Arabidopsis thaliana: one gene and its partner. The protein of the gene in region 1 purifies or fractionates together with the protein of each later gene. This does not show direct contact. Each region holds a gene or a part of one and is shown on either strand. Other genes may lie near its edges. The genes, in order: LTP3 and AT1G48610.

Region 1 (6,378 bases):
CCACTGTGCCACATGTTATTGCTGCATCCACTGATGCAACGATGAACACTGTCAAAACAAAGCATGTGAAGAACCTCAAAGCGAAAGCCATTGTGTTTGCTCTTCTCTTTTGGGTGATAACACAATTAGTTGAGTTTTGTTTTCTACGCTTGTGTTTTGTTGTTGGATGTGAGAAAAGTGGGAGATGATGATGGGTTTATATAGGGATTTCGTATGGGGGAAAAATGATGACTAAGTAGGGTTTGTTAGTAGTTGGTTTTGCATTTACTTCATGCATTCTTTCTAGTTTCTTCTACTAACGAAAATAATTAGTTTCTCCAGTCATATGTAGTTATGTTTCTTCTACTAACCAAAATAATTAGTTTCTCCAGTCATATGTAATTATGTAAACAATAGTATCAGTTTTCAGAATGTACAAAGACCAATACGTCAATATATATACAGCTATACTGTTAAAAAATATATATTCATTTATCTGCAGTTAATTAAACTTGTTTTTTTAATTAGCATGTTTAGAGCGATGTTATACTGTAGTAGACAAGAGAAAATCGTTTAAAAATTTGTATCTTCGTTGTAGATGAAATGTCAGCTATTATGTGTACTATATATGTAATACCGTCCAATTAAATGCGATGTGCAGCTGATAGACACGTGTATCCAACACTAAACATCACAATTCTCCCATCACGTTTACTAATTATGGCCATTATAATTAGCAAAGTTCACATTTTATGACTTACTACATAATTGAATGATAGAGGTGCTATATGGAGTTTTTCTCGATATTTCGTATAATCATTAACATAAATGCGTTTGTCAACAACAAAAAAGATTTAATAAATAATCTGAATAATAACAAAATTTATTATAATCGTACGCCAAAAATACGTTTTATAGCCCTGCAGGAAGATTTTTACGTGAATGCCACATCAATTCAATGCATAATTTTGTATACGAACCATAATAGGACGAAAAAAACAGTCTTTTTCTAACTATACTTGAAACCAATTCTAGACTCAAGCGGGAATAAATACACGAAACCGAATTCGTCTTATGCAGTACATAGCATGAATGCAATATAATCTCCATAACACTATCGCTCTATAAGCCATATATAACTCATAGTCACATGCAGTCTCATATATGTCTCATAGTTACACATATTACAAAATGTCTTTAACTTTTGTGTTTCCTTTCTACGTACGCATGTGATGATGCTTCTCCGATGTCTTAGAGAGCTTGGGACGTGAAAGGTTGATGTATGGTGTTGGATACTATCAGCCAAAAACCGTCAAGCAACATCGTACAAGATTGATAAATGTCTCACATGTGTAGTACTTAATAGTCACAATTTGACTACACAAACCTCTACCGACACTAATGTAGCAATTATATCATGTTATATGCTCTTAAGGTATAGTATGTATAACAACATTTCATTCTGTAAAATATCATCATTTATATCAAATTTATGATATATAAAATATCATTATCATTTTAAAATAACACTAAAATAATCAGTGCAATTCCGTATAATCTTCATATGAAACTGCAAGAATCCTTGGTGTTCCAAAGATTATGATGATTATTGTGAGCTTTGATTTATGGTTTCCATCTTGTCAAAAAATGGCTTTTATAAATGGTAGAGCTTTCTTAGTTTTCCTTAAGATATACACAACAGGTTACAAATATAATTTATTTTTGCTAAAAGAAATAGTTATAGTAAACTTGTAAAAACTACTACAACTATTTTATGGAAAATGTCTTAAAGCTGTTTCAACTTTTATACACATTACTGCATTTACTATTCTGAAATCAATTTTTAATTAAGGTCCTTGTACTATAAGGAATCCTTTAAATAAATATAAATATTAACAATAAAAAAATCCAAAATTTCAGAATGCAATGGTCTTACAATTACAATAATAATGTATTTGATTGTACTAAAAATATACCTTAAATACTCACCAATTATCTTTTATAATATAATCCACAAATTTCTGGAAGAGGAAAAACAAGTAAATGCAAGTCACATTTCACATTTCAAATTACCAACTACCAACTACAAACTACTTCCGCGTCTCAAATTGAACCACTAATTAATCACTACTTTATATGCTCATCATTCTTTTTCTTTCATTACAATTCTAGAATAATGACTTAACCAAAATTCATACAAATAAAACAATATTTTGGCTTCCTTCACCAGGCTAAGAATTTTGGTATTGAAAATCTAAGTACTTCATAAGAAACTGTTGGAATCATTTAAAATTTGTGATCATATATAAAAAAATTTATTCATCTTTATATTTAAGAGTTTAAAAACTGCAACTTTTGTTTTTCTTTCACTAAGTCTTATGGCCACAGTTAATTAAAAGCAGATGAAAGGTGGTCCAATGGAAAAGGAGAATGTGATTGGGCTAGTTGGGAGAGTTCTGATGTCTAGTGTTGGGTACACGTGTCCGTCAGTTACACATAGCATTAAATCAGACGGCATGTCATTATTCAAATCTAGTTCACATAGTACGACTAATAGCTGATAAATTAATGATTATACAGCATATGAATTATGAATTCAAAAAAAAAAAAAAATTGAAAATGTTAAGGAGATGCTATATTTTACAAAATTCATCGCAATGCTTTCTACTAATTTGCTAAGTGGTCTTCTCCAGTTAGTCTTGTCGATTCCAAGCGATATTATTAAATCTTGAAGCATCGCTCAAAGCATTATAGCTTAAGATAACCAAATTGTTATTAAAAACACCTAGTGAAATTTTTAAATTAAAACAATTTTGATATCTTTGTAATATCTAATACTACTCTTTCTGTGTCTAAAAGGATTAATTTTCAAAAATTTCACACATATTAAAAAAAAAAAAAAATTACTAGCTAAACAATTTTCAATAATCATAAAACAATAGTAACTTAATAATTTTTTTTTATTTTCAAAATAGTCCTTCAAGTTTACAATTCATTTTAGTATTATAATCAACAAAATTTGTATTAAAAAGTTGGAAAATTAATCTTTGTGGAACAAAAAAATCTAGAAATCATTTTTTAGAATTAGAGAGAGGTTTGATAAAAAAAAATAAAAAAAAATAGAGAGAGGTAGTACATACTAAACGATGTGATACTACTATTGACAAAATCTTAATTCTCAGTTTAGTAGAATAAACTAGAAGGAATGAATGAAGTAAATGCGAATCCAACTACTAACAAACCCTACTTAGTCATCATATTTTCCCATATGAAATCCCTATATAAACCCATCATCATCTCCCACTTTTTTCATATCCAACAACAAAAACATAAGCTAAGAAAACGAAACTCAACTAATTTTGTTATCACCCAAAAAGAAGTTCAAACACAATGGCTTTCGCTTTGAGGTTCTTCACATGCCTTGTTTTAACGGTGTGCATAGTTGCATCAGTCGATGCTGCAATCTCATGTGGCACAGTGGCAGGTAGCTTGGCTCCATGTGCAACCTATCTATCAAAAGGTGGGTTGGTGCCACCTTCATGTTGTGCAGGAGTCAAAACTTTGAACAGTATGGCTAAAACCACACCAGACCGCCAACAAGCTTGCAGATGCATCCAGTCCACTGCGAAGAGCATTTCTGGTCTCAACCCAAGTCTAGCCTCTGGCCTTCCTGGAAAGTGCGGTGTTAGCATTCCATATCCAATCTCCATGAGCACTAACTGCAACAAGTAAGTATTTAGTTTTGTTTTACTTGATCTAGAGACCATGAATTATTTTTTCTAATGACAAAATGTGTTCTCTTGATCGTTTGGATTGTTGCAGCATCAAGTGAAATGGAAGCTTACGTCGTCGTTTTGGCGTTAAGAGTATGGTTTACCAGAAGTACTAGAATAAAATACGGCTATATATCTTAGCTGATATTACCATGTATTTGTTTTTGTCTCAATGCTTTGTCTTATTTTCATATCATATGTTGTATTGATGTGCTAAAACTATGATAATAGTACCTTATTAGTCATCTTCTTTCTAGATATCTCCTCCAACGCATACGAACGTAATAATAATATGTGAAGAGTTTTATAACTATTAAGTAACCAATAATATTAAGTTCCTAGTTTTGGAGTGACATTATTTATAAAATTGATATTTATACGAAGAAGACATGCTCAATGATTTTTCTCCTTTAACCCAAAAAAATAAATCTCTCATCCATACTGATAAAGTAAAAGCTGCTGCATCTGCAATAGAAATTTTACCATTATCCGAAAAAATAAAACTTTACGTTGACCAACCTAATTAAATAACAAAAGTAATAATCCTAATTAAATAACAAACACCTAACAACATTGTTTTTTTTAATCTAAGAACAATGTTATCAATCTTCACGATTTGATTATGCATCGAAGAAAAAAAAAAATTTTTTTTTTTTTTTTTTGGACAAAATCGTTACTAATGTCATGCAAATTTTATCAACTCTGCGTTTGCGTCAAGTTACTAATGTCATGCAAAATTTCGTCCAATATCGTGTTGTAATACCTTACTACGCAATAACGCAAAGCCATCTCAAGTTCCTCGTCAGCGACTTAAGCGGTTAAGCCCATTATACCGCATCTGATACTCTCAAATCAGATAGCATTTTTCAAAGTATGGTTGCTAGTGAAAAATTGTCAGAATTGATCTCCTGATTTGGTCAACATTTGGAGCTTAGCCTTTAGGACATTCAAGTCATAGTCATTGACTCAAACCCGTAATGTGCGTTGGGCTTTCATCAGGTCCGTTAAAGGCCCAGAATCTTCAACTTATTGAAACCATATATTGCTCAATTTCCAAAACCAGCTTGGTTTAATTTTAAGGACTCCGATAACCGGACTTACATATTAAACTCTGCTCCTGGTTTATTCTTCAAATAAGCTGGTTGGGAGAGTTGTCAATTTGTCATGTTTGATGTTGGATACACGTGTCCCTCAGTTATACATTGCACTAATTGGACGGTAATTGAGATTTGGCATAATTAAATCTCCGATTTCTAACCAGTAACCGCCATCTCCATCCTTTTAACTGTTAACTTTTTAAGAGAAAAATATGCACAGTGATGACCTTGCTTTGAATCAAAACATATATCTTAAAATAAATAAAGATATAGACGACAAAAAGTTAATGTACATAGTAACTGATAAATATATAGATCAATTTAGATATAGTACTCATAGCTAAAAACAAATTAAATTGGTGGAGGATACACTTAGATATGTTCCTTAGTTTCTCATTGCATTGAATTGAAATATGAACGGTACTGAAATAGTCCGTACACATAGCTAGCAAACTATTGATTATATATGTACGATATCGAAGATTAGTTATGCTTTGCTAACGTATGTTTAGCAAAGCATGTTATCAGTATTACTATTCAAATCTTCTGAATCGCTCAAAAGTATGATATCTTAAAATACGAAAATATACAAAATAAAAGTATAAAAAATAAAAGTAAGATACGTACTATTGTTTACATTTGACTATAGCAAAACATTCTTTCTCGTTAGTGGAAGAAACAAGAATAAAGTAAATGCGTATCTAACTTCTAACAAACCCTATACTTAGTCACCATTTTTTCCATCTAAAATCCCTATTTAAAACCATCATCACCTCCCACTTTTCTCACATCCAATAGCAAAACACAAGCTTAATTAGAAAACAAGACTTAACTAAACCTCTACTTTTGTTTGTAATAACCAAAACAAAATAGAGCAAACACAATGGCTTTGGCTCTCAGGTTCTTCATATGCTTCGTTTTGACGGTGTGCATAGTTTCATCAGTAGATGCAGAAATCTCATGTGGCACAGTGGTAAGTAACTTGGCTCCATGTGCCAACTACCTTTCAAAAGGTGGTGTGGTACCGGATCTGTGTTGTGAAGGAGTTGAAAAGTTGAACGGTGTGGCTCAAACCATGCCGATGCCTACAGTCCATTGCAAAGGGCATTTCTGGTCTCAACCCAAGTCTAGCCTCTGGTCTTCCTGAAGAGTGCGGTGTTAGCATTCCCTATCCCATTTCCTTGAGCACTAACTGCGACAAGTAAGCTTTTTTTTAATTGTTGTACATATATAGTTAGTCTCCTCTCTTTTTCTTTCTAATTAACTTAAGTACTCATTCTAACTAAACACCATGATATAATTTTTATTATTTGGTAAGGTATACGTTTTGATTGTTTTTATTGTTGCAGCGTCGAGTGAAGTTGGAGCTTAATTATATATATATGTATAATCAGATTATGGTTTTAACATAAGTAAAATAAAATGTCTATGTACGTACGCTGATCTCACCGTGCCTTTTTCTTGTGGCTTTGTAATCTTTTGGTTGTTCTGAATTGTAACTTATCATGTTAAAGATAATAATAACACCT
Region 2 (6,615 bases), on another chromosome or scaffold:
TATAATCCAAGTAAATGTTAAAACATAAAGAATATGAAAAACTGATTGGTTAGAAATATACATTTTTTTTTGTAAACCGATATTAAGTAGAGAATTTAGTATAAAAAATCTTGTTCTAGAAATTTATTAGTATAAAGAAATGAAAGCATGTTTAAAAACTTTCAGAATTAGAAAAAAAATGTTTACATATAGTTTAATATGGTACTTGAATAGAGAAGCAGAAAAACATATAAAAAAAATTGAAAGAAACACAAAACTCAATTTTAATAACAAAAGCAAAAAACGCCACGTCATCGATCCGTGTCGTAAATCAGCACCAAAATACACTTTCAACGGTCAGATTTTAACTATCTCATCTGTCGTCATTTTCGATCTCTCTCTTACACTACTACACACACTCTCTCTCCTCCAACCTAACTATTTTTTATTTTTTATCTTCTCCTTCCACAAAACTTTTTTAATTTTATCTGAAAAATTAAAACAACCGAAACAAAAAAAAAAAACTAAAAATCAAAAATCTCATCACCTTCCTTGCTCTGTATTTTTTCTCTCTCACTAAATCCTCCATGGATCCTTCTCTCTCTGCAACCAATGATCCTCATCATCCTCCTCCTCCTCAGTTCACATCTTTCCCTCCTTTCACCAACACCAACCCCTTCGCCTCTCCAAACCACCCCTTCTTCACCGGACCCACCGCCGTCGCGCCGCCAAACAACATCCATCTCTATCAAGCAGCTCCTCCGCAGCAGCCACAAACATCTCCAGTTCCTCCTCATCCATCTATTTCCCACCCTCCTTACTCTGACGTAAGCTCTTCTTAGCTCATTCTTACATTTTGACTTTAAAGTTAGGGTTTTTAATTTCCACTCACTTTTTTTTTTCGTTGATTAGATGATTTGCACGGCGATTGCAGCGTTAAACGAACCAGATGGGTCAAGCAAGCAAGCTATTTCGAGGTACATAGAGAGAATTTACACTGGGATTCCTACTGCTCATGGAGCTTTGTTGACACACCATCTCAAGACTTTGAAGACCAGTGGGATTCTTGTCATGGTTAAGAAATCTTACAAGCTTGCTTCTACTCCTCCTCCTCCTCCTCCTACTAGTGTAGCTCCTAGTCTTGAACCTCCCAGATCTGATTTCATAGTCAACGAGAACCAACCTTTACCTGATCCGGTTTTGGCTTCTTCTACTCCTCAGACTATTAAACGTGGTCGTGGTCGACCTCCAAAAGCTAAACCAGATGTTGTTCAACCTCAACCTCTGACTAATGGAAAACTCACCTGGGAACAGAGTGAATTACCTGTCTCTCGACCAGAGGAGATACAGATACAGCCGCCACAGTTACCGTTACAGCCACAGCAGCCGGTTAAGAGACCGCCGGGTCGTCCTAGAAAAGATGGAACTTCGCCGACGGTGAAGCCAGCTGCTTCTGTTTCCGGTGGTGTGGAGACTGTGAAACGAAGAGGTAGACCTCCGAGTGGAAGAGCTGCTGGGAGGGAGAGAAAGCCTATAGTAGTCTCAGCTCCAGCTTCAGTGTTCCCGTATGTTGCTAATGGTGGTGTTAGACGCCGAGGGAGACCAAAGAGAGTTGACGCTGGTGGTGCTTCCTCTGTTGCTCCACCACCACCACCACCAACTAACGTAGAGAGTGGAGGAGAGGAGGTTGCAGTCAAGAAACGAGGAAGAGGACGGCCTCCTAAGATTGGAGGTGTTATCAGGAAGCCTATGAAGCCGATGAGAAGCTTTGCTCGTACTGGAAAACCCGTAGGAAGACCCAGAAAGGTAAAATATCATTCCTTTTTGTCTCTGCGATTACACAGTGATTATAGAGAACTTGAATATTTCTAGTCAAATAGATAAGAGAATAAAAGTTGGAACTTTTGTCTTGTGAATAAATGTCACTTTCCATTCTCAACATTGTCTCTTTCGAGCGTGTGTGTGGAGACTAGAGAGTATCTAACTAAATAAATTCTAGAGTTTAATTTATATTCGTGTCTCTGCTTTTGGCCTATACTTAATCTGGTTTTGTGGTGTACTATTAATCTAAGATATCTCTTTGTTTGGTAATCAAGAGCAACTTGGTAGGTGGCTCGCTTTAGCAACCAATAATTGTTCAGTTGAAGTGTGAGAATTACATATGAACTTATCTTTTGAGACAGACATCTTATCAAGTTTTGTCTGTTTTAAGCAGAAATTTAGTTAATTCAGTCAAAGTTCAAGAGTTTGTGTATTTCCAAGTCCACTAGAATTTCTTTGTCTATTATATTGATGAGTTAGTTATCTAATTACATTTATATTATTGCCATTTATAAACATAGAATGCGGTGTCAGTGGGAGCTTCTGGACGACAAGATGGTGACTATGGAGAACTGAAGAAGAAGTTTGAGTTGTTTGTAAGTAATCTAATGAACAGAAACACAATATGGTCCGTCCTTGGTTTTGATACTTAATTGCTTATGCTTGGTTTTGATATCTCATTTATGCAGCAAGCGAGAGCTAAGGATATTGTAATTGTGTTGAAATCCGAGATAGGAGGAAGTGGAAATCAAGCAGTGGTTCAAGCCATACAGGACCTGGAAGGGATAGCAGAGACAACAAACGAGCCAAAGCACATGGAAGAAGTGCAGCTGCCAGACGAGGAACACCTTGAAACCGAACCAGAAGCAGAGGGTCAAGGACAGACAGAAGCAGAGGCAATGCAAGAAGCTCTGTTCTAAAGATAAAGCCTTGACATAAAAAGCTAGCAAGTGGTGGGTTTACTTGTTGTGTGTTACATGAAATTTTTAATCTTATAAGGGTGTTTGCAGGAGAAAAACAAAAAGAACAATGTGATGAACTGATGATGATGATTGTGTCTCTAACCAAACAACAAGGAGAGGTAGGGTAATGTCTGTAAAGTGAATTAGGATGTTACCATTGTTCATGCTTCCCATCTCTCTCCATCGTCCATATCTGTGTAGGCAGCTTTGTTCTTTGTTCCCTCGTGTTTTTTTTAGACTGTTGTGTCTCTTATTCTATTTTGTCTCCTTAGGCTTTTTAGGAGTTGTTGTTGATGTTTATCAAAAACGCTTATGTAATTTTTATGACCACTTCTACTTTTTATGATGGTTTCTTCAAGTCTCTTACGTTATGTAGTTAGAAAACCATTAAATAAAAGTTGCTTATGTCAGTTGCTCTGTTTTAATTTGAAATCCGGTTTTAATTTTAAGTGTACTTATTGCAGAAATTAGGTAGAAGGTATAGAACGGTTTTACTCTTCACTCACACACCATTTAACCAAATTTCTAAATTTATTACTCGATAAACACTTTTTTAACAAGTTTTCAATACTTTTCTCCAAAAAAATTTTGAATTTGAAATAAAGTAGTGTATTTTTCGATTTTGGTTTTATAAATCAACTTTTTTTTTTGAAAAAGTTAAAAAGAAATCACCACCACATTTGCATGTTATACTATAATACCAAAAAATTAATATTCGTGATTTATTTTAAAAATCTGTGAATTAAAAAGAAAAATGAAATGTTGATAAATAAAAATAAAAACAAGGAGTAAAGGTGGACCCATATCGGTTGACGCAACTGATTCTGAACCTCTCGGTCGTTCGTTTCTACTCTTTCCAAGCTCTAGCCCATGGTGGTGACCTTCTTCTTCTAACCGCGAAAACCATCTCTATCTCTCTTATCTTTCTTCTCCGCCAAGTTTCTCTTTGTAATTTCTTTCTTCTTCCTCCAGATTCTTCAAGCTTCCTTTACCATCTCGCGAATCCTTCTATTAAGTTGAACAAGGTACGTACATTGCGATTTGCGAACCCTAGTTTTTCTCAAAACGAAATCTCTACGCGTGAGAGCCTGAATCTGTGTTTTACAGTCTTCGTTTCTAGATTCTAGGTTTGTGACATTTGAAATTTCGTTAAGGTTTTAGCGAAATCGAGTTTCTGGTTGTTTAGTTTAAGTCTAGTCTCCGTTGATGTCCGTTTTTGCTAGGGTTTTGATTCCGATTAACCGCCGTTTTCTCACATTTTGCTTTCTCTTTTTTTTTTTTTTTTCTGATTCGCATCTACAGATCTCATGGCGAAAACAGCTCTTACTCCTCCCGCGTCTGGTTCCGAAGTTCCAAGATCCGGTACACCTGGAGATGCGTCTGGCAACAAACCTCAAACGGATGCCACCGGCGTCTCAGCTACTGATACTGCTTCTCAGAAACGCGGTCGTGGTCGACCGCCAAAGGCTAAATCTGACTCTTCCCAAATCGGTGCCGTTTCTGCGAAGGCGAGTACTAAACCAAGTGGTCGTCCGAAAAGAAACGTAGCTCAGGCTGTTCCTTCTACGTCTGTGGCGGCGGCTGTGAAGAAACGTGGTAGGGCAAAGAGGTCGACTGTAACGGCGGCTGTGGTTACTACTGCTACTGGAGAGGGTTCTAGAAAACGAGGGAGGCCAAAGAAAGATGACGTGGCGGCTGCAACTGTTCCAGCAGAAACTGTGGTGGCTCCAGCTAAGAGACGTGGAAGGAAACCTACTGTCGAAGTAGCTGCACAGCCTGTGCGCAGGACTAGGAAGGTATGTTTCTCTTTAATTTCATTATCTTTATTCACAAAATGTCAAAAGAAATTTAGAAATGGTCTGATACCAATTATATGATTGTTCTTGACTGTTTGTTCTGTATAGTGTGGAAATAATTCAGGGTAATGTCTTATTTGACTCTGGTCTCAAATGTGGTCTACTTTTAGGATTGCAGTATCTGAAATTCCCCGTATTTTTAGAAAAATGTGTATCTTATCTGGATTTTGGTGTATTTTGGGAAAATGTCTTATTTAATATTGTTCTTCTTGACTGTTTCTTCTGCATATAGTAGATAAAGTTCAGAGTAATGTCTTTATTTGTCTCAAATGTGGTCTATTGTGAGTGTGAAGTATCTGATATTATTCGTAATTTCTTTGAAAAGATGTGCATCTTATCTGGATTTTGGTGTATTTCATTAAATCTTTTTTTGTATAATGTGGAAGTGAAAGTGATTGGTCTATTTGGTAAGAAGTTATCATGTAATTTGAGTCCAAATAAATTTCACAAGTGTTTAGTTCATGTTAGACATAACAATGCTTAATGTATAATTTTAACAAAAGGTATATACCAATTATACGGTTGTTCTTGACTGTTTGTTCTGCATATATAGTGGAAAAAGTTTAGAGTTGTATGTTATTTGTCTCTGGTGGTCTCAAATCTGGTTAATTTTAGGTTCTGCAGAATTTGAAATGATTCGTAATATTTTGAAAAGATGTGTATAGTATCTGGATTTGGTGTATTTCTTGAAATCTATTTGGTTAGTCATTATCATTTCATTTGAGTCAATATCTACAAGAGTTCATGTAAGACATAACCATGCTTATACAACTGTGTGTATACTTATGTCAAAGTCGGGTTTTCTATGCATGAACAAAAGAGCACTTCAGTGGCACCGGTAGCTGCAAACGTCGGAGATCTCAAGAAAAGAACCGCACTCTTAGTAAGTGAACTATCCCCACTTAGCTTCTATAATGGTTTTTCGTAAACATTACTGTATCCCTGCATCAATTTGATTTAGACATTATGTTGTGTGGAGCACAAAGGATACTAGCAAGTCAACAGAATTGTTAGATTATGTCGTATAGCCTAGAAGATGGAATTGAATGGTCATTTGATTAGTTAATTAAAATGGATTCATTTCAACTAAAAAGAAAGAATCTGATGATAAGTTACTGAAATGAAAAATGTTGCAGCAAAAGAAAGTGAAGGAAGCTGCAGCTAAGTTGAAACAAGCAGTAACAGCAATTGACGAGGTCCAGAAGTTAGCGGATGGAATGTAAAAGAAAGCTACTGATATGACTGAATCCTACAAGGGATAATGATGATCGAGAAAGAAATCTTCGTATGTGTTTTAGGGAATTTAATTAGGAGAAAACATTCATTTGGAGGAAGACTGATTGGTTGTTAATGTTTGATTTTCACTTTAGGGTTGTTTGTTTGTACGTTTCTAGGATTTTGCTACCAGAAGAGGTTTAAACAGTAGTGTTAAAATGGTCTATGTGTAGCTCGGAGATGGGGGAAACTTTCACTCTTCCTTCTGAATTTGATTTGCTACGTCTTTGTTATCAAGAATTGTAACATTCTTTTCCTTTGAGGTTTATGAATTTGGAGTTATAAGAAGCTTAGTAGAAACCTAAATATCTCTGAAACTGTCAAATATCTTCACTAATTTGAAAATCTTATTCTGAAAACTGACACTAGTCTAATAAACATAATTGATAGTTTTCTATATATTAGAATCTATAATCGTTATGGTGCAAGGGAAACATAGTTGATTGTTAATAAAACAATTTAGGGGGACTTGAGAAACATTAACATTCGTATTTGTGTGACTGGGTCATAGTCTTACTGAACACAAAACCAGAATAAGGTTTTTGGATTGTTTCAGTTTCTTGTTGGGAAGGCCCATTTTTGATTAGTCAACGACCAGATTGACCAGCGATGACGTCGACTTCTCTGTTTTGTTTTCAAACTTAAAGACCCTCGCGGCATTTGATTTCGATTTCCGATTAGGGTTCCTCGCAGATCCTCCTTCCTCGGCTGTAACAAGGTAA

What was found.
Region 2: the proteins of LTP3 (region 1) and AT1G48610 fractionate together in Arabidopsis thaliana (co-fractionation; one large-scale study listed by BioGRID). This does not show direct contact.

The regions. Positions count from the first base shown.
Region 1 is NC_003076.8:23,925,682-23,932,059, forward strand, and holds LTP3 (lipid transfer protein 3), read left to right. Parts: upstream 1-3,272; 5' UTR 3,273-3,369; coding exon 3,370-3,707; intron 3,708-3,801; coding exon 3,802-3,811; 3' UTR 3,812-4,135; downstream 4,136-6,378. Other genes in the region: LTP4 (lipid transfer protein 4), read right to left, coding at 1-91; AT5G59330 (Bifunctional inhibitor/lipid-transfer protein/seed storage 2S albumin superfamily protein), read left to right, coding at 5,733-5,996. UniProt on the Arabidopsis thaliana protein: Plant non-specific lipid-transfer proteins transfer phospholipids as well as galactolipids across membranes. May play a role in wax or cutin deposition in the cell walls of expanding epidermal cells and certain secretory tissues.
Region 2 is NC_003070.9:17,970,253-17,976,867, reverse strand, and holds AT1G48610 (AT hook motif-containing protein), read left to right. Parts: upstream 1-3,465; 5' UTR 3,466-3,787; intron 3,788-4,064; 5' UTR 4,065-4,069; coding exon 4,070-4,558; intron 4,559-5,438; coding exon 5,439-5,501; coding exon of another isoform or gene 5,502-5,546; exon of another isoform or gene 5,547-5,754; coding exon 5,755-5,841; 3' UTR 5,842-6,257; downstream 6,258-6,615. Other genes in the region: HON5 (high mobility group A5), read left to right, coding at 567-806, 892-1,785, 2,322-2,396, 2,490-2,720. UniProt on the Arabidopsis thaliana protein: May bind DNA.